Caenorhabditis elegans: one gene and its partners. The protein of the gene in region 1 interacts with the protein of each later gene in a pairwise test. Each region holds a gene or a part of one and is shown in the gene's direction. Other genes may lie near its edges.

Evidence for each region.
Region 2: the proteins of egg-3 (region 1) and egg-4 interact in a two-hybrid assay, tested with the Caenorhabditis elegans proteins (one study listed by BioGRID).
Region 3: the proteins of egg-3 (region 1) and mbk-2 interact in binary tests that used the Caenorhabditis elegans proteins (3 or more experiments, as listed by UniProt).

Annotation. Positions count from the first base shown.
Region 1 is NC_003280.10:10,879,760-10,887,363, reverse strand, and holds egg-3 (Protein tyrosine phosphatase-like protein egg-3), read left to right. Parts: upstream 1-2,922; 5' UTR 2,923-2,923; coding exon 2,924-3,058; intron 3,059-3,103; coding exon 3,104-3,333; intron 3,334-3,383; coding exon 3,384-3,486; intron 3,487-3,534; coding exon 3,535-3,941; intron 3,942-3,992; coding exon 3,993-4,436; intron 4,437-4,482; coding exon 4,483-4,831; 3' UTR 4,832-4,956; downstream 4,957-7,604. Other genes in the region: F44F4.3 (DUF2330 domain-containing protein), read left to right, coding at 1,486-1,644, 1,692-1,868, 2,112-2,357, 2,417-2,635; lurp-1 (UPAR/Ly6 domain-containing protein), read right to left, coding at 4,975-5,151, 5,330-5,451, 5,542-5,638, 6,281-6,436. UniProt on the Caenorhabditis elegans protein: Probable pseudophosphatase required for the oocyte-to-zygote transition during which it regulates the polarized dispersal of the cortical actin cytoskeleton, the synthesis of the eggshell chitin layer and the formation of the polar bodies after meiosis I and II.
Region 2 is NC_003279.8:3,928,470-3,936,891, forward strand, and holds egg-4 (Inactive protein-tyrosine phosphatase egg-4), read left to right. Parts: upstream 1-3,740; 5' UTR 3,741-3,742; coding exon 3,743-4,005; intron 4,006-4,053; coding exon 4,054-4,931; intron 4,932-4,979; coding exon 4,980-5,719; intron 5,720-5,789; coding exon 5,790-6,079; intron 6,080-6,155; coding exon 6,156-6,246; 3' UTR 6,247-6,344; downstream 6,345-8,422. Other genes in the region: T21E3.2 (uncharacterized protein), read left to right, coding at 2,361-2,406, 2,452-2,590, 2,637-3,075; lrp-2 (EGF-like domain-containing protein), read right to left, coding at 7,025-7,129, 7,189-7,333, 7,382-7,457, 8,086-8,422. UniProt on the Caenorhabditis elegans protein: Inactive phosphatase which acts redundantly with egg-5 in the oocyte-to-zygote transition. Required for the polarization of cortical actin cytoskeleton rearrangement in the oocyte before and after fertilization.
Region 3 is NC_003282.8:13,005,309-13,013,403, forward strand, and holds the start of mbk-2 (Dual specificity tyrosine-phosphorylation-regulated kinase mbk-2), read left to right. Parts: upstream 1-3,849; coding exon 3,850-3,921; intron 3,922-4,151; coding exon 4,152-4,207; intron 4,208-4,328; exon of another isoform or gene 4,329-4,349; intron 4,350-8,095. UniProt on the Caenorhabditis elegans protein: Required for oocyte-to-zygote transition in which it phosphorylates oocyte proteins, including mei-1, oma-1, oma-2, mex-5, and mex-6, modifying their activity and/or stability following meiosis.

The DNA of each region.
Region 1 (7,604 bases):
GTCACCTTCTTTCTCTCTTTCTCTCGTGGCGCAGGCGCCCCAAGAAACCAAACAAAATTCGTCGAACAACAACCCACTAAAATCGTTTCGACTTCTCGGAGATGTAATGGCGTTTCGAGAAGAAACATTATGACGAAATAGTAGTGGTAGCCGGTCATAGAATTTCTGACGGATTTTGGGAGAGAAAAATACAAAACTACATGGTTTTGGAACAATTGTGAAGTTTGTTTTATGGTAAGTCTACGGATTAAAAAAAAAGAAAGATTCATTCCAATATTAAATGAATTTTTATCTACAGTACCACTTCAGTACTACTTACTAACCCAATCCCAATACCCCTTTAAAATACAGAAATTCATTTTTCTAAAACTACAGTACTCCTACAGTACCCCTTCAGCCCTACAGTAAAACTACAGTAATCCCACAGTACATCTACAGTACTACTACAGTACCCTTACAGCACTAATTAGGTGCGTCGACCACTTCTATCCTGTAGCCACTTAACTCAATATCCCTTGCAAATGCAAATACTGAGTGTTTCTAAAACTACGGTAATGCTACAGCAGTCTTATAGTACCCCTAGAGTACTACTACAGTATTCCGATCCCCTATCTCTTTAAAAAAACTGAAACTTATGTTTTCCGAAACTACAGGTGCGTCGACCACTTCTATCCTGTAGCCACTTAACTCAATATCCCTTGCAAATGCAAATACTGAGTGTTTCTAAAACTACGGTAATGCTACAGCAGTCTTATAGTACCCCTAGAGTACTACTACAGTATTCCGATCCCCTATCTCTTTAAAAAAAACTGAAACTTATGTTTTCCGAAACTACAGTAATCCTACATTATCTATTTCAAATTATTTAATAGTTTACAGATTTCTTGAGAAGAAGCACACTTTGAAAAACATTTTACTGAAAGCTACGAAAGCAGCAACAGAAATAATGATGACGTAGTAATTTTTAGGAAGCTAACCAGTTTTCAAGTCAAAAAAAATGTTATGTTGGTTGGCTACAACAATGGTCAGACGGTTTGAGGATGTTGTTGAACTACTTTTTGGAACAAATAAATACGATCAGATGACCAGAATGACGAATTCGGTGAAGAAGGTCATATGTGTTTCTGAGAAAAAGAAAACACGAAATTCATTTGCATAAATTCCTTTTTTCTTTTGGAGTTTTCAAAATGGGTCGCAGAAAAAAATAGTTTCAGGATTTTCAGAGGGTCATAATTTTTCCTCTCCGATTTTTTTCCACCATTTAAAAAAATCAAAAATTCGATTTAACAAATGGGCAATAATGTCCGAATAAAACAGTAAAAATTATTTTACTTCACTTTTAGAAATAAATTTTTAAATAATTTTTAAAAACGTGCTCACGGACGCTACTAGTCATTTTAGCTTTTTTTCTTTAAACTAAATTAATTCATTTCTCAACTTTCACATCAAGATTTGTTGCTGTTTATTTTTTTTCGAAATTAAAAAATGAAGCAATGTGCAATTGTTGTATCAATATTCCTTTCAATTCTCTTCTCATTGACTTCCACGTGTCAACAGCATTCCACGTTTGTGTTGACCTACTCTGAAGATAAACGAGCTTTTCATTCAAGGCTCTTTCATGTTTTTTATGAGCCAGATTTTAAGGTAACTCAAATTTTAAAAAAATTTGTACAAAAAATTCTTATTTCCAGTCGGTGGCTGAAATGATAAAATGTCAACTATCGGGTACTGTAAAGGATGTAACTTTGGAGGAAATTCAAGGAAAGCGGGAGCTCTCATCAATTTGTAAAATGGAAGCTTATACATCAAAAATTGAGGATAAAACGAAACAGAGAAACTATATGGCTACTATTACAAGGCAATTGAAGGTGAGTTTTGCGCCAGTTCTCGACACGACATTATTTGTGTTAAAACAAACGGGTGTGCGCCTTTAAAGAGTACTGTAGTTTCAAACTTTGGTTGTTGCGGAAATTGTTAAAGGTACAGTACTCTTTAAAGGCTCACACCCTTTTGCAATAAAAAAAAATGTCGTGTCTAGACCCGCTACCGTACTTTTCGCGCAAAAATCGAAAAATTTCGCGTCTTTTTCAAAATTATCGTTTGATTTTCAGTTTTCCGAGGCTCTGACACGATGTGACGCGTTGAATCAGCTTAATCTAATCAAAACCCCGATGAATCAATGGGCGGTACTTATTCGAGGACACGCCACTGATATTATTCTTCCCTTGAAATCTGAAAAAGGCGGTTTTAAAAAATCTTCGTTAGATTTTGCCTTGAATTCGCTGTTTTTTGCTTCAGCTTATGGTTTTGGAGATTCTACTTTCAAATCTCTTGGCGGAGAAACTGGTGTTCGAGAGGTAGGATTTTTTAATTTATTAACAAAAATTAGATTTTTTTTCCAATTTTTTATTTTCAGAAGCTCTTGTTCATCACTGTCATCGTCTACGTCGTGGTGGTTTTTGTGGCAGTTGTTGCACTGGTTATTCTCGTGGTTTTGTTCTTTATTCGAAGAAAAGCCAATATCAGAAAACGGGAGAGTGAGAAGAGCAAGCTGTTGCGAAATCCGGCGAACAACACAGACAATGATGCCCCTGTGGAAATTGTTTACGATAGCACTTCTGATATTAAATCTTAATTTTTGAAATAAATTTACATTTTTAAGTTGTTTTCAATTCAGTTTAGTCTAACGAATAAACAAATATGAAAAAGGCAGGCATACAACTATGTGCGCTACCGTATCCACAGAAGGCGCGTAGACAAATGCAAGTGACAGGTTTCACCACGATTCATCTCCCCGCTAATTTTTAAAATTATTTTCTTTGTTTTAATGATGGAAAAACGCATTTTTCTTGTTTTTTCCTCGAAAAAATCTCGTTTTTATAGTTTAATCGATTTTTTAAAGAATTTTTTTCATTTTTCCAGAATGCGCACCTCTGACAGTCATCTTCCGCTCTCGAATTTGGCTCGATCCGACAGTATTGAGTTCAAAGATGCGGTAATCAACGAGAAGTGGGTCCACTCAGCCAATCGACGAAAAGGTCATCTGACACCAAAAGCTGTGAGTAATTAAATTCTTTAAAAAATCAGTATAAATAATTTTCAGCCGGAAAAGAAAAGTGGATGGTTCGGTGGACAGAAATCGGAAGAAGAGCTGTTAATGGAGCGTGTTGAGCAGCATGAGCTCGAAGAACTGCAAACATTCATCGCCCAGAAGCTTTTCCGTGTCGATGGGATCATTTGTGATGAGGAGACGAGAATTTTGCTTGTCGAGAAGTTGATGAACGCGAAGGAATATCCAACAATTAATCATGATGAGCTAGCTCATAGATATGGGTAAAAATAATTTCGTAGAATAAATCGAGCAAAATGAATTAATTTTTCAGAAGCTCAATGGCAGGTTGGCTCCGTGATCGGCTTGTCCCTTCGATGTCTGATTGCAGCTCAGTGCTTCAGAGAGCAGCGGCGGAGTTTTATCAGAATAAGATGGTTTTATAATTTTTCAAATTTACTAGAAAAATATTAAAATATTTCCAGAGCGATCCGCTTTGCAATTGGGGTCAATTGAATCCGGAGCATGTCTCCATGGTGGCTGCTCGAATCGCCAAGTTTTCTGAAGAGATGTCCTCCAAAGTGAAATGGTCACTGCTTGTTGAGCCGGGGAAGTTCAGTTGCCACCTCACAGAGTTTGTGCAGGAGTTCAACCGGCTCGATCGAATGTTTGTGAGCAATGAGTTGTCAGATGAGGAATCATTGCAAACTGCATTCAACGCGAATTACCTGACGAAAGCTCGCAGTAAAATGGTACCTTGTGCAGAGTTTTCGAGGGTCAAGCTGAATGATGGTTTAGGCCGGCTTGATGATCGAAATGAACTGAGAAATGGAATGTTCTCCGATGAACACGAGTTTTTGCAGGAAGAAGGGTATACAGCCAAGAGTACATAGTGAGCAAAGTTGAAAGTTGAAAAAAATTCAATCAAAATCCAAATTTTCAGTGGAACAACTGATTTCATTCATGCAAACTATGTCAAAGGAGGACCACTACTGAACACATTCATCTGTGCACAGGCTCCATTGAAGAACACTCAAGAAGATTTCTGGCGTATGGTCTTCCAAGAGAAGTGCCAATTCATCGTGATGCTCAACTCAGCAGTTGATTCTTCAACTCTTGGTCCACTCGACTCGGCGAATCGTAATCACTGTCCGTACTATTGGCCTCGTGCTGAGAATGAATCTCTTCGTTTTGGATCATTCCATATTACTTGTATGAAGGTTGACTCGAAGGCAGATCCATTGTTCACCATCACTAAATTGAAAGTTCAAAAAGTTGGCGGAAATCTTTTGGATGCTGAATTCGATGAAGAACTCTTTTTGGAGCACTGGCAGTGGGATTGGCAATATTTGGGAGATGTGCATTGGCCATTCCGCGTTTTGAGAAAGTGGGTTTTTTTATCTATTCAACACCAATCAAATTTCAATTTACAGAGCTCGTCAACTCTCCACACCTACAATTGTTCAGTGCATTGATGGATGCTCCAAGTCAGGAACTCTAGTTTCCATTGAGACTGCTTTGATGCATTTTATCCGTGGATCTCCAATCACCAAATCACTAATTCTTCAATCATGCGTCTTCGTTCGTCTGCAACGTCGTCTCTCCGTCTCTTCAGTTCTTCTCTATCTCTTCATTTACCGTGTCATTCTTCGTTGGATCGAACCTTATGTCAACAAGTGGTACCATCGAGCCGCGCTAGGCCTTCGCTTCAAATCGATCGGATTCATTCAAAAGTATAATGCTATGATCCAGGAGTTTAGCCGTATCACACCGGCTTATTAATTTCTATTGTTCTTGTATTATGATCATTTTAAATTTAACCCACTTTCCATTAACTGAATTGTATTTACATGCATGCATCTCACTCCCATATCACTAGAATCGAAAATGAATTATTGTAAATTTTTATTTTTTATTTGTTTTATCTAAAATCCAAATATTAACGCTAGAGCAAAAACTGAAATAACATTTAAAATAATAAGAGGGTAACCATATGAGCCATTGGTTTTTCGTGCAGATCTTGAATTCATTGAGTATATCGAGTTTAATTCGGTTTGAGTGGCCACGTTGCACTTGTTTTCTTTACAGCAGCAGAATGAAAACTGCAAGTAAAATATGTATAGGGATTACTGTAGATGTCATAGGTCTCGCCACGCGGACAACAGGCTACTGTAACTCGTGTCGATTTATGGATTTAATTTGAAAAATATTGGCCCGTAAATCGACACGAGCTACAGTAACTTGTTGTCTGCGTGGCGAGACCCATTATGCTCCACTCACATTTCCTTTCATTCCATCATAAAATGAAATATCCTGACATTTTCCTTCGCTCTTTTGGCAAACTTGACGATCACCTCCGGTATAGGCACATCGAGAGGAGATTCCTTGCTGGAAAATTCCATCTGAAAATGAAACTTGGTATTATTGTTTGGCAAATGAAGTAAAGTGTTCCATACATCAAATTTGACGCACAAATTCGAAAAAGAGCTCACCGTCGTCTAGAGCTGAATGTAGAATCACTTTTATACAATACATTGCCGAGCACATTGCGGTGTCATTTATGTGGAAATGATTTTCTTCAACTGATGCCTGGAATGTTATTTATTATAGGGACGCAGAAAAATGCGCGTTTTGAAAATGAGATGCAAGCATGCTCCACGGCTGAACGCTCCCAATCGTTGGGTCTCGTTAGGTATTTGGCAGGAGAAACCGTAAAATCAAACGTTTTCGATTATTTCCTTTTTATGCTTGTAACTTTTATCGTTGGTTTTAATGATTTTTATATCGGCACTATGTTTAAAAATTTTTCATTTGACTAGGAATTTTATTTTATTAATTTCCACAAAAAAATTAATTAAAACAAAATTAGAACCACAAATAGCCATCAATACCTAACGAGACCCAACGATTAGGGGCGGAGAGTTTTAAATTTGGCCGAAGAGCGCGATTGCACATTGATTTCAGAAACCGCTTTTTTTTTTGGCAATATTATATGATTATTTTTCTAAAGATTTTTGAAAATCAAAAGAATTCCTGCGCGAGAAGCATAGGTCATGTCAGATGCACCATGTTTTTTTTGATAAGGCTTTGCAATTTTTGTTACATTTCCCATCAAACCATGCCTCACCGATTGGGAAACAGCCAAAAAATAAATATAAATATTGTAAATTATATTCGCCCTCTTCCAGAATTTTTTTTCGAATTTTTCATTCTTTGGAGTTAAAAACTCACCTGCATTCGTCCCACAAATCCACTAAAACAATCATAAAGAGCCAATGTGGCTGATGGAAATAGAAGAAGCGGGAGTAGAAGTAACATCTGGAAGTAACAATAGGCACAAAAGAACAAGAAGAAGAGAAAATGGGAAAAAGGAGGGGCAAAAAGCATGTGTTTGTTATCTTCAAAGTGCTGCTGAAACCTGTGTGCATGTGCATAATCGTTAAATAAAAAAGATGGAAACGTAATAGATTATTGAGCCAATAAACTGGGTGGCGGGGGAGGCAATAAAGGTTAATAAAATCAAAAAGTTCAGGGTAAGTTTCTCTGGAACTTTGGAAATTGCCACTGAATTGAAAATTCCGTTTTGAACTGTACAGTTACTGTAGTTTTAGTACTTTTTTCAAACGAAAAAATTCGAAAAATTGATTTTTCTTGAGTTAAAAATAATGAAAATCTTACTATCAAACTTGTATTTAAAAACCTACATTTTTCAGATGATCTAAAGGTTTTGGTAATTTGACAAATTTTCGGAAATCTTTTTTAACAATATTGTTCTAATTTACATTTTTCTACTTTTCCTTCAATATTTTCTAGCAACCATCTTGAAAATAATTTTTAAAAAAATTCTTTCCCACTGTCTCTACTCTACATCCACACAAAGCATAAAACTACAGTAACCGCCCAATTATTTTAAAGGTACATTCCACCTTTTCAATCTCTATATCAGCAAATCTCTCAAATGGTTAACGGAACAAATGGAACATAAAAGTCTAAAAATTCTCCATTCGAGCTGCGCCAAATTTCATTTTGTGTGGCGTTGTGCTTGTCGACGTTTTTCGAGAGGCTCACGCTTTCTTCTTCTCCTTTTTCTTTTTACCCAAATTTTTGCATGAATCGAGAAGCTTTGGTCATTTGTCATTTGGGACGCTAGCTGACCGACCAGCTGTGGGAATGGATATCTAGATTAGGAATTTTGCAATTTTCGAATAAAATTTTCATGGATTAGTTTATAGCTATTTATAACTTTGTTGCGCTAGAAACTGTTGCAAAATATTCATACCGGCCTTCAGGCAGACAAGGGACAAAAAAGACTAGCCTAAGTCTAAGACTAAGCCTGAGCAGAAGCCTGAGCATAAGCCTAAGACTAAGCCTAAGCCTGAGCCTTAGCCTAAACCTAAACCTAATCCTAATCCTAAGCCAAATATTAAGTCTAAGCCTACGCCTTAGCCTAAGCCTGAGCCTAAGCCTACTTCTAAGCCTTGGCCCAATGCCAAACACAAGCACAAACACCAAACTTTTAGCCAAAAATCACAAAATAGACCGGCTTTCAGGCAGA
Region 2 (8,422 bases), on another chromosome or scaffold:
ATCGGTAATTTGCCGGAATTTAAATTTCTGGCAAATCGGCAAATTTTAGGCAAATTGTGGTTTTTCACTGTTCTTTTTTTTTTTTAGAAATATCAGAATTTTAATTTTAAGCAGCAAAATTGTACGCATCTTATGAATTTTCCTACATCTATTTGGAAAAGTTAGCAAATTTTATGAAAATATCTAGAAAAAACGGGGAAAAAAATTTCAAAAAGGCACAGTTTCAAGTTTTCCGTTTTATAAAAAATCGCTCTAAAAACTTCCGGTGAATTGATGTTCGGCAAACGGCAAATCGGTAATTTGCCGAAAATCAAAACTTCCGGCAGATCGGCAAACCGGCAATTTGCCTAAAATCCCAAATTTTTTCAACTTTTCCGTGTCAAAGCTGTCGAAAATTAAGATGTACCCTTGGCAGATATACGTGATTCATAAAACTCGAATTGGTAACCATGGGGATTACATTTTTTTTTGTCGTACATATCAAGGAGGACGCACTCTCAACTGAGATACGAAAAGAGGAATGTGTTTGAAGAAATATAATGCTCACATGTTTTGAGGAATTGTGGAAATAGTCTCTGAAAAAGTGCAACTTAATGGGGAATTTTTCGGGGAAATCAATTTAGATTAAAGTAACATTTTTACTGTTGGGTACTCCTTTAGGCCATTTGATCGTCTTTCAAAGCAAAGTGACCACGGCGAGCTCTGTGAGGTTGTCAATAAGCAGATATACATGCCGAATCGAATGTGGCCTCAGAAGATACAATAAAGAGTTATCTAATGATTCCGGGCAAAGAAAACCTTATAGATTTTGGCACTTACACTTCTCGCTCGAAAAAATCAAGAATATTGAAACAAAAATTGAAAAGTACATTATTATAACGAATAAATTTCAAAAATTTTCGAAATTTACGAAGAATTTGTCAGAAAAAAATCTCAATGACTTTAACCACTGAAGAGCACTCAAAAAACATGCTCAATGTTCAAAAAGCCGCAGAGTGAGTAAATTTGAAGCAATATACGTCTGCCGAAAGGGTTACGGTAAGTGTTTGTGACCAAGAAGATAACTCACATAAAAATGACTGTGAGAGTAAGAATGATGATATAGAGCAGCAATATAATGACCCACCGTCCACCAGACAATCGAATGTTTATAATAAATTATTATCGATCTGTGTTAGCACTTTTTAGGTGAATAGGTTCAAATTGAGGAGCAAAGAGAAATAAAAAGAAGTACATAAACTGAATAATTAATAGCCGTTTTCCCATAAGAATCTGTAGAGTCCGTGGGCTTTCGCTTCAACAGACAGATTTCTCGAAAAAAAATCGGAAATGTTTTACGGCGGGACAAAATAAAAATAAAAAACCAAAGCTAATTCGTCCTTGTCATGGAAGCTGGAACACATTTTTGCAATTTTTCGCGGTTTATCTCGAGTTTTTATTGATCTAGTCACATTTTAATTCGATATGCACCTAATTTTGGTTTAATATGCCAAAATTAATGAATAAACGCGAGATAAATAACTGAAAATGCGATAAAAAGTGAAAATCTCATAAAAACTGTATTTCAGCAGCTGCGATCAGGAAAAGTGGGGCGAAATTCCAGATATTAGCAATTTTTGGGTCCTTTTCCAAAATATGATTTGCAGAATCACCAAATTTGATATCTAGTTAAAAAAAATTATATGGAAAAAAGAGAATATTAATATTAATTTTACGTGAGATTAAGATACGAATAGACGAAGAATGAGCGGGAAATGTAGAAAAGGTACTCCGTTTATCTAATCTTCATCTTCCACATTGCCTGCACTCTCTCTATGTTGAAATATATCAATAATCGATTCCATGCAGTGACTGTTGAGTGAAAAAGGACCTGAACACGGCAAGAAAATATAGAAAAATTCACATTTTCTGCGTTTTTCTCGAAATCAAGTAACAAATATATCGGCGCTTTGAATTATAGCTTACAGGTTGTTTGAAATGGCAAGAAATTATCAGATTTTCTCCTAAAAACCTATAAAAATCGAAAAAAAAGAAAGGAAACAACCGAAAATCAATGTTCGAATGAAACATTTGCAATGAAAAAAAAAAAAAGCGTTCGAGAGAGTGAGAGAGTATGAGTGAGGAATGCAACGACGCTCTATTGACAACAAGTAGAAAACATTTTAGAAATTACCAGGTCGGAAAGAAAGAAATTGTTCAGTGAATACAAAATGAGAAATGGAAAAGGAATAAAATTTGAAAACTAAAAATAAAATCCAAAATTGCGGAAATTCAAACGTGTTGTGTAACTTATAAACCGAATTAAAAAAAAGGCCAGTGCAAATCGAAGGTTCAATTATTTCTAGTAATTAATTATAAAAATGGCATGCATTTTTGCTGAATTAATTCTTTTCGTAGTATGGACAGGTATTCCGGCAATTTTAGATTCAAAAGCGCATAACCGTATTTCAGTTATGTTTATTTCGTGCTCTAAAACGAGCCAAGCTTCAAAAGTGGAGGAGAAAAAGCCGAAAACCTCTTCAATCACTACAAAAACCATCACTTCGGCAGATTTGGCTGACAAAACCGATGTCAGCAAAACTTCCACTCCGTAAGATCCTCGAAAATGTTTTATAAACACGAAATAAGCCATTCAGAGTCAGCACGAACTATTCAACTGTGTCAAAAACGATTTCAATGCAAAAAGAAGTCGAGAAGAACCCCAACAGCGCAGAGGACTTCAATGTTAATCGAAAGAAAACTTCGAAATTTCAAATTTCAAAAGAATCTGTAGCAGTTGAAATGAAACCAGATTTCAAGAAAAATAAAGATGTTGGCGGCAAAAAGGAAAAAGCAAAATCAGCGGAAAAACCGAACAAGAAAGAAATCACTCCGCCACAAACCATCAAGAAAACGTCAATGGAGAAGGCTGGAAAGGAAGAAGATGTGAAGTGTGATGAGGAAGTTTCAAGAAATAATATGGAAAGATCTGATCGAACTCTTCATTTTTCGAAGAAAATGATTCGTGGCCCCGTGAAGCCTGAAGAACAGATGGAAGTCGAACCAACTCCGTTATCTTGGAAAGGAGGACCATGAAACTTGATTGAATAAATTTTATTATGAAAAAAGTGAAAATATGCAATTAAATAACACAAAAAAACGCATAAGATTCAAAGAAAACAAAAAATTTCGAAAGAAAAATCAATTCGAAAAGTTTCGCGTACATTGCATGTCAATTGACGCAAAAGTGCACACATTATTTGTTACCGTACCTTTGTTGTTCTCATTTTTTGAAAGTCACCGCTTCGATCCTCACCATGAGCATAATCGGATTTTCCGTATATTTAATGTTTATAAACAATTTTTAAATAATATATTTAATTTTATGTAATTAAATTTGCGTTTTCCGTTGTAAATAGTGCGAGATACGGTACGCGAAAAAAGTACGCAAGTGCACACATTATCTTTTACCGTACCTTTGATCTTCACAGATTTGCTCTACGATTTTGGAAGAGCGCGAAATTTTGTATTTTTCCGCTCAGCGAAATTGTTTTCTGGTATGCGCATCCGAAATTTTTCTTTCTTTTTTCTCCTAGAAAATCGGTTTTTGTTCGTTTAGGTGCTTTAATAGTGTTTTTCGCAGTTATTTTATGGAATCGCCCGCATACTCGACTAATTTCCATTTCGTTTCCTCCTAAAATCTTTTTTTCTGTCTCTTCTGCTCTTAAATAATTATTAGCTTAAGCTCATTAATTTTCCAGGTATGGCGTTGAACAGCGAAGTGATGTTCCGCGAGCAAATCAACGCGATGCGCTCACAAGCTGGCCGGAAGCGTGCGACGTCGCTTCAAAGCTTCTGCTCCGGAAACACCGACGACTCCTCGGCGGATAGCACCGATAACATGGATATGATGGTGGATTATCCTCAACAAAAGGGAGTGAGCTGCATGAGAGCCAGATTCAACAGCGAAAGCACGCTCAGCAAGAGTTTCCGGAAGAAAGTGAAGAAGCTCGCTCAGAAGGACAGGTATTTTGAGATTCTTAAGTATTAGAAAATTAATATTCTATGTTGCAGAAGATCCAAGGAGCGTCTGAACGGAAACTCGGAAGAGGATGCGATTGAAGTCCCACGTGGTGCTCCGTCTACTTATGCAGCTCCATCGAAATTGCGGAAATCCAAAGCTCTCGACTGTCTTGTCTCCGAGAAACCAAAGGACGAAGGAAGACGCGAGGATTCCGGGCATGGAGCCGACATTGAGATGGCAAAGGGACACTTCAACAATGTTCGGATGAAAGTGTTTGCCGCCCGAACTGCGATGCAAGTGGAGCCGGCGTTGGTCATGAAGACTCGGAAAGCATTGGAGATGAAGAATGCTGTCCTAGAAAATCATCAATCGCCAGGAGCTTTCTCTCTTCATGCAGCCTACAAAATTGCAGCTTCTGCAGAATCCCGTGTTGGATCGATTACTCCATGCAATAAGAAGGTGACAAAGGAAGCAATGGCTAATTTGATTCGTTCAAGTTATGATGACACCGAGATCACTCAAGAGCTGCTTTTCTCTTCAAAGTTCGACACGAAATGGAAGGGTCGATACACAGACATCTACATGCGTCGGGATGAGAATGGAAAGAAGCCAAAGCGTCCAGTGAACGGTCAAGGATGGGTGATGCCGTTGAAAAGCATCTGTGAGAAGTTCGGAATCAACTCAACTTTCTTCACAAATCATCGCATCGATCTGAAATCCGCAAGAGATCAGGTGCTTCTGATGCGCCTTCTTTCACATGATCAAACCAGCACATGGATTTCGGATATTCATCCAGAAGCCGTCAAGAATGAGACAATGGCTGAATACCTACTTCGTGAACTCGACGCTTCTACGATGCAAAAGCGAGTTCAAGCTTTCAAGGCAAATGTTCTTGCTGACAGAGACCGAGTTCGTGTTGCTGGACAGTGTAAGAAAATAAATTATTATTTTCCTTAATTAATTAACTTTTTTTCAGTCTACAACAACATTCGAATCGGAAAGCGGATGTTTGGAGCAGCGAGAAAAGCGAAGTATCTGTCAACCATCATCGGAGGAATGGAGCGACGCTTTGAAATCCTCGAGAACTCGGTCAACCACATCCCATTCACTCACTCAGCTTCAGACAACAACCAGGAAAAGTGCCGTAATCCACGTGTTCACTGCAAGGATTCCACTCGAATCGCTCTCCAATTCCCACGCGGTCAGTATCTCGGAGATTTCATTCACGCAAATCGGATTTCTGGAAAGCCGCTGTTCAATGAGTTCATCATGACTCAAGCTCCAATGAAGAACACCGTTGATGATTTTTGGAGAATGGTTTGGCAGGAGGAAGTTCCATACATTGTGATGCTAACCAGCAGAAAGGAACCGGAAAGATGTGAATATTACTGGCCAAAATCTCCGTCGGATCCCGCCGTTACTGTTCCTGGTGGACTTCGAATCGAGAACTTTGGTGTCTATCAAGCTCCAGACCCATTGTTCCGTGTCACTCATCTTCGTCTCATTGGACCGGATCGCGAGGAACGTCACGTGGAACATTGGCAAGGAGACGTGAACAATTCATCGAATATGTACTCTCCATTAAATATTCTTCGTTTACTTCGCAACGCGTCGAAGCCAGTCGTTATCCATGATCATTTGGGAGTTTCTAGAGCGGCTTGTCTTGTTGCTGCCGAGATTGCCATTTGCAGTTTGCTCCGAGGGCCAACTTACAAGGTTTGTATCAGAATTTAGTGACTTTTTAAGTTGGAAATGGTGAAATCAATTCAATTAAACACATTTTCAGTACCCAGTACAACGAGCTGTCCAATTTCTTCGTCAGCGCCGTCCATTCAGCATCGAGACTCCCATGCAGTACATCTTTGTGCATCGTCTTGTTGCATTCTTCTTCCGTGACGTCATTGGAAGTGCAAAGGAGTTGGATGTCGATTATGAAAGATGGCTCCAAGAACGATCCGAACGCATGTTCCTTGATGATCTTGCTGCTCCAATTCCTGGCTATCGTTTGCTGTCTCCAAGAGCAGATCCAGACATTGTTCGAATGGTTGGAAGACCGGAACGACCAAACTACAGACGGTATGTTTTATTTTACATATTTAAAAAATTATTCGAATTGAATTAATTCTCTTTCTAAAAATGTTTTATTTTTCAGTGAGGCACCCGATTGCGTTGGAGAGATGCCAAACAAGGTGGCGACTGTCGACGGGATCCTTTCACCAGCGAAGAGCGTCTTCGAATTCTAATTATCATGTATACTAAACCTCCACTCACTATTATTATTTTTATTTAGAACATTCTGTGAAATATTGCATGATACTGTATAAAATGCATTTTAACTGTCAACTAATGTTTACGAATTCAACACCGAAATTAAAAATGGATTTTTTGTTTTGTTAAATTAGGAATTGAATTTACAGATTGGAAGATCTTTTGGGTATATGGTTCTTGACTGTCGAAGTGGATATGAAAGAGACCCGGCGAATCGGGGGGATTGCTGGCGGCGGGGGATCCGGATCGGGGGGATTGCCACGCCCATAGAACCGTGCGGAAATTCAAATTTCCTCCGCACAGTTAATTTTTTTCTAAGTCTTTCAATCCCTAACATCTCTCAACTTTTGTTTTTTGAAACCGTGCGGAAGTTGCGAAATTTGAATTACCGCACGGCTATATGGGCGTGGCCAATCCCCCCGATTGGGGTCCCCCGCCGCCGGCAATCCCCCCGATTCGTCGGGTCTATGAAGCTCATGTCGCGTGCCTACAGACCCAGTTAGAACATGTTTTAACAGTCAACTACGGTTTAAGAATTCAAAACTTAATTGGTTATACCAGCTTAAAAAGAAACAGAACAGAATCGTCGAGGACAAGAAATAGAAAATAGTTACAACAAAACAAGGACCCTGTCGACAAGAGAAAATGATATTGAAAATGAGTTTTTTTTTATCAGTTTGTTAAGGGAATAAGGAATATAAATAGAGAAGAAAGCTGTGGCAAGTGAAAATATAGGAATTGAGTTTCAGAAAGTTAATTCGAAGATCTATTATTCGGCAAAAGTTCATGATTCTCGACGGTATCATTGTAGATCGGAACCATTTCTTGTTCAAAAACCGGATTGTTGAACGATCCTCGCTGAAATGTTTTTTATTTAAATGTCCTAAAACTTGCTGAAATAAAGAAAAAAGGCTTACATCGTGAGATGAGACAAGACTCGTATTTTGGGTGACTAGTTCGATGCCGCCTTCATCGATCAAATATGCAGGATTACTGAACTGATCGACAGGTGCACCTTGATTTTGAAGTGGATTATGACGGAATTGACGGAAAACTGCGAATCTGTAGAAAATAGTTATGAGGAGAAAGTTTAAAGAAATAATGTCTTACCTGTTGGAACGATTTGCAAAAATTCCAACAACGATGACTATGGTGACAAGGATAATGGCAAGGACGACGAATGATTCTGAAAATTTGACATGTGGCATTTTTTTTGGTAAGTTAAATGCAGGCCAATTTGTGTTCTAACGACTTGTTGCATTTAATATAATTTCCTTGTTATTTGAATTGTTATCTGAATGTTACTTGAATTCACGCAAATCTTAAAGGCGCGTACACAAAGCTGGGCTTAATAAATGCAGAGCGCGACGAGACCAGTTTAAATAAATGTGCACTCTTGCATAGTTTAAAACCGGTTTTATAGTGCGAAAATGTCCAAATACTTTTTTGAAATTTTTCACATAGAATCAAAAAATGGCAATTACTCAGTTTTCACCTATTATAATTTGGAAGTTGAAATTTTTTTCAATGATTTTTATACTTCAATTGCGCTTCAATTGTACCATTTTAACTTTGTAGAGGTTTGAACCTGCATTAATTATGGGGTTATTCCAGTAGTGTCGGAAAATTAAAAAGTGTATTTAAATACACTTTTTCATTTTCCGACACAGTTGAATAACCCCATTTCTCAAAAAAGGCAATTTTTTTGGAAAATTTAGGCAATTTTCCAAATTTTTTTGTGTACACAGTTAGACTAAATTCCCACTGACGCTACTGCATCTTCAAATATTTCAAATTATAAAAAAAAAACTAACTTATCCAACCACTGTCATCATCACTGAATATTACAGCATGTTGATGAATGCGATATTGGCACCGATCTCCAATAAACGCTTGATAGCATTCACATTGTGGCTCAAAGTACTCATCCAGCGTACAATTTCCATCGTGAAGACAAAAGTTTTCACAGGCATTCGAGCTGCACAGTAGGCCCTTGAAACCTGGAGAACATAGGCATGTTGGTGAAGTTCTATTGGCACTTGGGTCGGGTTTCAGGCAATATCCTCCATTTTTGCATTCCAGTTGATGGCAGGATGTGGCAGTGATCTTCTCGCAGTACTCGCCACCAAGGCCTTGTGGACATTGGCAAAT
Region 3 (8,095 bases), on another chromosome or scaffold:
GTAGGCAGTAGGCAGTAGGCAGTGCAGTAGGCAGTGTTGATAGAAAAAATTATACTTTTTATAGGTAAATTTTTTGTTATGCTGAATTTTCACTGATTCTTGTTAAAAACTTGGAAACTTTATCAGACATTTTTTGAGGACTATTACAATTCCATTAGGCTTCTCCCATTCTCCTCTGCATTTTCTCAATTCTTTACCGATTAACTCATGCTCGGTCGACTCCGCCCCTCTTTCTCTATTCATAAATTCTTTTTGCCACTCGACCTTCAGTTTTTTTTGTTGTTGGATGATTCGCTTCTCATCCTCCACTTTTCTTCCGTATTCCACCCGTCAATTCCTTATTGTTTAGTTTAATATCTCTTGACAATCACTTTTTTTTGCTTTCAGAATATGTCGAGGATCGAACACTGGAACAACTTCATTCATTGTAACATTCTCCTTTTTTGACTAATTCCTTAAAGGGAAGCCGCGCCAAACATACTGATGGCGGCTGCTCTTTTCCTAATCATTTCCCCTTCCACAATATTTGCTCAGTTCATCCGAAAATTGGCATTTTGGACGAAAATTTGAGATTACGGTATTGGTTCTAAACATAATGATATTTATGTTTAAAATGTTTGATATTGAAATTCAGATACTATAAAAATTTAGGAAAATGTTTAGGCGTGCATACCTGCCTACGCATCTGCCTTGGTATACATCCAGTTTACATTTTCTATGTAAACAAAAAATTTCTCGTGCACTTTTACAGTTTTCGCGCATGTATGCAGGAGGTAGGCATAGGTTGCCTTAAAGGCTTAGTAGGCAGACAGTCGTTTTCACCTGAAAGAGTCAGGTGAAAAGATCTCAGTCTAGATCTCACCACAATTTTGAATTCTCCCATTTGTACTCCCTAGGTTTTGAATATGTTATAGTATGGGAAAAGTGACTCACTCATATGAAATTTTCGCATAACTTTTGGAACTTTCTTTCTGGAAATGCAAATATAGTTTTTAAACTCTGAAATAATGTGGACGTTTCAAAATGTGGAAGTTTTCTTTCGAAACTTATCAAAAGTCAAAAAATTTTTGAATTATGTTTGGAAACTCTTACTTAACTTACTAACATATAGCTGTAACGTTTTTTATAATCTCAAAATAATGATATTTTAAGATCTAAAATCTGACATTTGAAAAAAAAATCTAAACAAATAGCATTTTGTAAGCTATGCAATTTAGAAATTTTTTGAGCGATCAACTAAGCTCCCGGGCTTCAAAATTGTCGGTGAAGAGTGAAATAATTTTAAAACTTTCAATTCCAATTTCTATTACCTACATGTTTCTGTCTTCACTAAGACACCCATTCCGGTGTTCTCTTACCATGCTAATAAATAAATCACGCACCGTCCGAATGGCCCTTCCCGTCCGTAAATGCCGTGCCATTGGTTCCGCCCGTCTTTACCTAGATATTCCATCAGATACAAACACTCTCATTCATTCGATTATAATCGTCGATACCAGTCATTTTTGTACCCCCTTTTCTCTTGTCTCTTCCCCTCACTCACCCTGCTCAAACACGCCCAATTTACTATGACCCCGAATGCACTTTTTTCTTCTTCTTCTTGTTCTATACCATTCTTTCACTCTGAGGGAATACGCCTTCGCCCCGCCGAACCACCCTTCATCACATATCCCTATGAATCTTTCACACTTTTCTCTTCTTTCTCGCTCATCCATTTGCTTTTTTTCTTTGAATTTCTAATTACCAGGCTGCTGTTTTTTCTTTGGTTTTTGGTTTTACACGTGATAGAATTTAAGGTTTTCAGGCGTTCTTGTCTAGTGATTTATAGGCCGTAGGCTCGATACAGTCAAATATGCCTACCTGCCTCGAGTTAATTTCATTTTTCTAATAGGAAACACATTTTAAAGGTTATTTAAGTGAAACATAAAATAAACTTACGCAGTCATCCATGTGTTAATAAAAAATACGGCCTACATTCCTGCCTTGTTGTACGCTGGGGGTAGGTACGAGTCATTCGTTGGCAGGCAAATATGCCTACTTACCTCGGACCAACTCAATTTTGAAAATTGGAGAAAAAATTTTAAACACTTACGTGAAAGGTTAAACCGGTTTAGGCAGGGTAAAACCGGTTTAGGCTTTGTTAGGCTTGTGTTAAGGCTTGGGTTTAGGCTTGTGTTTAGGATTGGATTCAGGCTTGGGTTTAGTTTTTTTGTGCTTGCCTACCACATATTTAGTTAATTTTAGCAGAAGCTCTGGTTTTCATTTAGGCTTGCTTTTGCCAAGCAAATATGCCAATTTTCCTCGAGTCTACATACTATGCTAATTGGAAAATTTTTCAAAAAGTAACTTTGCGTGAAACCCAAAATAAACTTACACGGTCATCCACGTGGTATGAAATAAAAATAAATTGCCTTTGTTCAATTATTTTATTACTTTCAATTCTTCTCACTTTTTGCACATTTCGTTAACCGTCTCACAATCAGGAATCCAATGCCAGATAAGTTATTTGTACACAATTAAGCTTCAATAAGAGAGAATTCTCAGGTTTAATCTTAGGCTAGGGTTTAGGTTGCTATAGGATTTTAGATTTGCTATGGGCTTAAGCTTTTGTTTATGATTGGTGTTAGGCTAAGGTTCAAGATAGGGTTGGATTTAGGCTTGAGGCTTGGGGTTAGGCTTGGGTTTAAGTTTGGGTTTAGGCTTGGGTTTAAGCTTGGGTTTAGGCTTGGGTTTAGGCTTGGGTTTAGGCTTGGGTTTAGGCTTGGGTTTAGGTTCAGGTTTAGGCTCAGGTTTAGGCTCAGGTTTAGCCTCAGGTTTAGGCTTGGGCTTAACTTTGAGTTTAGACTTGGGTTTAAGTTTGAGTTTAGGCTTGGGTTTGGGCTTGGGTTTAGGCTTGGGTTTAGGCTTGAGCTTATCCATTCTTGGTCCCTATCCTCTATGCCTTCCCTAACTTCTATTTTTTAAATTTCAGCCTGTTTATTTCTAGACTCCCCTTTTTAATATTTCCTGCCGCTGATCATATGATATCCATATTTTTGCATTTTATATCAGACATCAAAAACTATTAGCATTAAGTTTTCATAAGGCATGCTTTGAAAACATTTGGAATGCGCAAAGATTATGGGAAGAAAGTTTTGGAAAAGTTCAGAAATTTCCCTTACAAGGGGAAGTTGAAAAAAAACCATTTTGGTCGGTGCCAGCTGATGCTCCTCTCGTGACTCTTGATAAGCCAATTGTTAGTCGTAAAAATGGGGAGAAGAACTTTAAAAGTGCGTAAATATCTAGTTATCTCGTTTTCTTATCACTGTTGTCATTGTGCATCTAACGTATTTCGGTTCACTAATAATAAGTTTCACGCTATTTTGTTTTTATATTATATTGTATTTTCAAAGCAAGTTCACTAAAAAGTTTTGCTCCATGCGTTCCAAGCATCCACTGCCTGCCTATCAATTTATCATCGTTCTCCACCCCGTTAGGTGTACCATTCAAAAAACGTTTGTTGCTCCGTACTCTATGTCTCCAATTCCCATATGCTCTTCCACAAACCCGCAACACAACACAAGTTTCTGCAAAAAAAAAATTTGGTGGATTCCTCCTAGAGAGTAAAAGAGAAACAGGGGGAGAAAAACGGACTCTTCCAACATCATTTGCCCCTTTTTCTTATCTGCTCCAACTTGTCCCCACGTTCGGTGAGGTGTTTCTCCCATTGATAACAAAATGTATTTGATCCGATTACCCTCTACTCGTCGTCAACTCTCTTATTACCCCCTACCACAAATTGTATTAAAAAGTACAAAAAATTTTTAGGAATTCTCTCCCAAACTTGCAGCAGTCTAGAGTAGTTGAAGCATGGCTGCTCTTGCCTCGTTCACACGTAACAGTCGAAGTTACGGGCAACAACCGATTGATGTTACACAACAGGTGGGTGTGCTATACCTCTATTAGTAGTGCATGTAATTATAGTTTCAAATTGAAATGGAGTTTGAAAATTTTTAAATTTCTCCTCTGAAAAAGTAAAGATATTGACTTTTTTCTGAACTTTTGTGTGATTTCTTAAATGTTCATTTTTGATATTACTAGTTATTATAGTTCTACTAGGATTATAAAATTCTAAACAAATTGCTCCTAAAATTCAAAAAAAATCATTTCAGGGTCAGCGAGATCGCAGTGTAATGAGTCTGGATGCACAAGGAAGATCAGTTTCACAGTGAGCTTTTGATTCTTTTTCTCTTCAAATTTTTTCTTCAATTTTCCCACTAAACGTATGTAGTTTAAAATATTGCAATTTCGAATTACTTTGAAGTTCTTAAGGAAATTTCTAGAAATATTCAAAAGTCGTGCCTGCAGCAGACGGTCATTTATTTTCCTTGAAAGCCCCCCCCCATTGACCACCATATGGATCCCATTAAACTTTACACCCTGTGGGGTCCTTGAGAAAACTTTTTGATGTTTTTTGTCCATTTATGCTTAACCTGATTAGTTGAAAAGCTGGTGTAAAGGGCCTAATTAGTTGGAAATTGGAACATGTTTTGAAAATCACAATGTATTATTGTAATAGAAATCTAAAGGCGGAACAAGGAAAAAAATCAATGAAAATTGAGATCGAGAACCCTTCTCATTCAATGAAGAGGTGTTTTCTTTTCAATAAAAAGGAGGAGTGGGGGGAGTATTTGTCATCAAGAGTACCCAAGAATGGTATACCAGCGATTTCACAATTAGATTCACAGTCAATCATTTCTTTTTTGATTCAGACCTGTTTGATTTTGCAATTTTAATCAGGATTCAATACATTTTTGTTAAAAATTTTGTTTTTCTCCCACTTTAATAGTTTCAAAACATTCATTTTCTGAAAACAGCTGTTTTAGAATACCTTGAAGCTTACATACTCTAAAACAAAACAGTTAGACCTAAGCTAACGTAGTTTATTGGCATTGGCGTTTGAGTAAGGCGGCCCCGTTGTCTAGTCACAATAGAAAGGGAGTAATGTAAATTGTTAAATTGTTGGTAGGTATATCCTTATGCCTGCCTGCCTGCCTACTGTTTGCTGATTTCCTTTATTTTAAGTTGAACTCTGGCCTTTAGTGTTCACCTCATGTAAGTTTACGCATATTTTATAGTAGACGTAGAGGTCGGTATTTTTTTGGTTAAAAAAAATTTTAAAAAAATCAAATCACTTCCTCAGCCACTTGCAATTTTAAGCGACTTTTCAGTAGAAACTTATGCTTCAATTGAACAATTTTTCAAATCCTATCTCTCGTCGATTTCTCACAATTTTGAATGTAACAACATTTTAAACGAGACACACAAAGTGTAAAAATGCTCAAAGAGTCAATCAGTGTTCCCTTGGCCTTTTTCTCCCTTTACCCTCTCTTCGAAGAAAAATGATAGGAAAATATCCGGGAAGGGAGAATTTAGTTGCACGTCATGATGTTCTCATCAGAAGTTTTTTCCTCCACTTTTTGAAAATGGAACTTTAATGACTCCTTTTGTGCTTGCCCCCTTAACCCTATCCAATTTCAAGACGTTTTCTGATTGTTCTTCGAAGTACGATTTCAATGTGTGTGAGAAGAGGAAAAATGAGATAGATTGTACTTGAAAGTAGACAATTTACAGAAAACGAACATTTTATGGTTTCTTGAAAACAGGTTGATTTTAGAGATTTTTAAGTGTCAAGAGATTTGTTCACTTGAACGAAATAATTATGGAACTTTTTGATCTTGTTAGATTTAGTTAAAAGAAAAATTCGCAAGCCTAAGAGCAAATGTGCAAAAATTTTATTTTGTTCGTTGTGATACAAATGTTGCAGAAAACTATTTTTCCTGAATTTCCATACATCAAGAAATTGACCAAGAAAGGGTTTTTCTACAAATTTTCAGTTTTAATTTTTTTAAACATTGTGAAGGTTCTGTTTGAAAAATTCAAAGTTTGCAAAAAATTTTGCCAATTCGCCAAACCTTGTGCTGAAGTTTTCAGAAAACTACGATATTTTTTTCCAAAAAAAAGCGTTCCTCACAAAAGTACCGTATCAAATGTTGGTCATCAAAAATCCGCACCGAATCTTTCCGATCTTTGTCTCTCTGTATCACTTGTGTTAGTCTTCAGTCCCGCTTTCCCCACCCTCCCCCAGATAAGGTTCTCGCGTTCCCCTATCTATCCCCACACACACACATTTTTATTTTAATTACAAGTACTAATTCGGTAGTGTTTTCTGTTTTCTTTACCTGTATGGTGGAGACTAGGAGGACCTTGCGGTCGGGAAAATGAGGCATCGTAATCAAACCAACCGAGGCAACACACACGCCGGGCCATGATGGAAACAACTCGTAAAAAACCCGTCTTTTCTATTCTTCATCGTTCTTCGCCTCTCTCACAGGGATTCCCTTTTTCATTAGTCGTTAGGAGAGGCTTTCCATACCTTTTATGATTGTATACAGTGATCTACAGATTCTTGAGATGTATGTACAATTTTTTTTTGTTTTTGATCTACCTGGTCAACTCGCAACGATCCTCCGCTAGCTGGCTTTGTGTGTTGTTTAGCACTTTCTGTAGTTTTAGAAATTACTTCCTATTGTGAATGACCAAATTTCCAGTTTTTCAGTAAAAATAAATACTTGTCCTATTTATTGCCAAAATGGTTGGAGCTGTAAAAACATACAGTTTTTGCAATTTTTTTTTTGGCTTTTCTCCGAGATGTCACAGTTTGCAATTTTTAAACTACGGTTTTATAATAGTTGTAAATCAAAAAGTTTACTGTAATTTTTTTTAATTCTCAGTTTTAATTATTAGTTTTTGACTTACTAACAAATTTCGGAGAAATTTTTTTTGATCCGAAACGATCTAACTTTTTCAAATTAAAATTTTTAATATTTGCAAAAATTAGTTCTACAAAACAACTACAAACCTGCTTGATTCTGAAATTTCAGCCAAGTTTAGCACTTTTGATCAAATTGCATAAGCTTATAAGTCCTCCTCCTCCTCCTTCTCGAGAGCCCCAAAACTCTTACAAAGCTGTGAGATTTGTACTTAATACTACACAATAATCGCCTGTAAATGTAGTTTCCAACACAAATTCTATCTCCTCTTTTATCGCTCCCTGCCTTCATTCATTCCTTCATTTTCTTCTGGAAAGAGGCGGCTCTTCCTCGCGCGCGCAAAAGCAGGGCTCATTCCTCTTTGCAAATATGAAGAATTCGCTGACTGATTCGAATATTTCTAAGAAAAATTTCAAAAAACTTCCAAGTCTTCCTGATGTTTCGAGGTGAGGTTTTGCATATAGTAAAAGTCGTTGAATTTTATTTAAAAATAGTTAAAAAGTTAAAAAGTTAGTAAGTTTAGTTAAAAATTTAAGTATCTGGAAAACTGGCAGGCTTTCAAATATAATTCCCATAGAGATTGTGAATATTTTTTTGAATTTGTGAACGAAAAGTTTACAGTGGGAATTCCGCCCAGCCAAGGCGTCACGGAGACGCTTCTCATTCGCCTCTTCGCCCTCCCCTCACATTTCCGACGGCATTATGAGCAATTTGTCACATTTGTTGTATTGAATTCAGCGTTGCACAAAATTACAATTCTTTCTAATTTTTAAACCGGAATTTTTAGGCCCCTCGTTTCGTTAAGCCTTGATATTTTTTTGCCATTCGAATCACTTGACAGGCAGGTGCTCGAATTAAGGAACGGCGCCAAACCACATATTTCTAATCAGAACATCTGTAGTCTGAACGATTATATTACACTTGGTCAGGGAAAGATTTTTGATAATTTTTTTGTTTCACTGCAAAATAAGTTAACATACGAGGGCGGGGCGACATGTCTCGGGGTCTGAAAACGCCTCCATATACCCGGAAATGCCTCCCCTCGTCTTATGTCCTTCGTTCAAAACTGCCGGTAGGACCCGATGCTCCCCAATCTTCGGGATTTCTACTTTGTAAAAAATATTTTTCGAACTTCTACCATTATCCCTCCTTCTCACTCTTTAAAGATCGGACACCTCGATACCCCCTCCCCGTGTAGTTTATTACCATTGAAAAGTTTTAATTGACACCAGTTGTACCTCTACCATCACGCCTTTTCTTTCACCGTCTATGTCTCTGTCTCT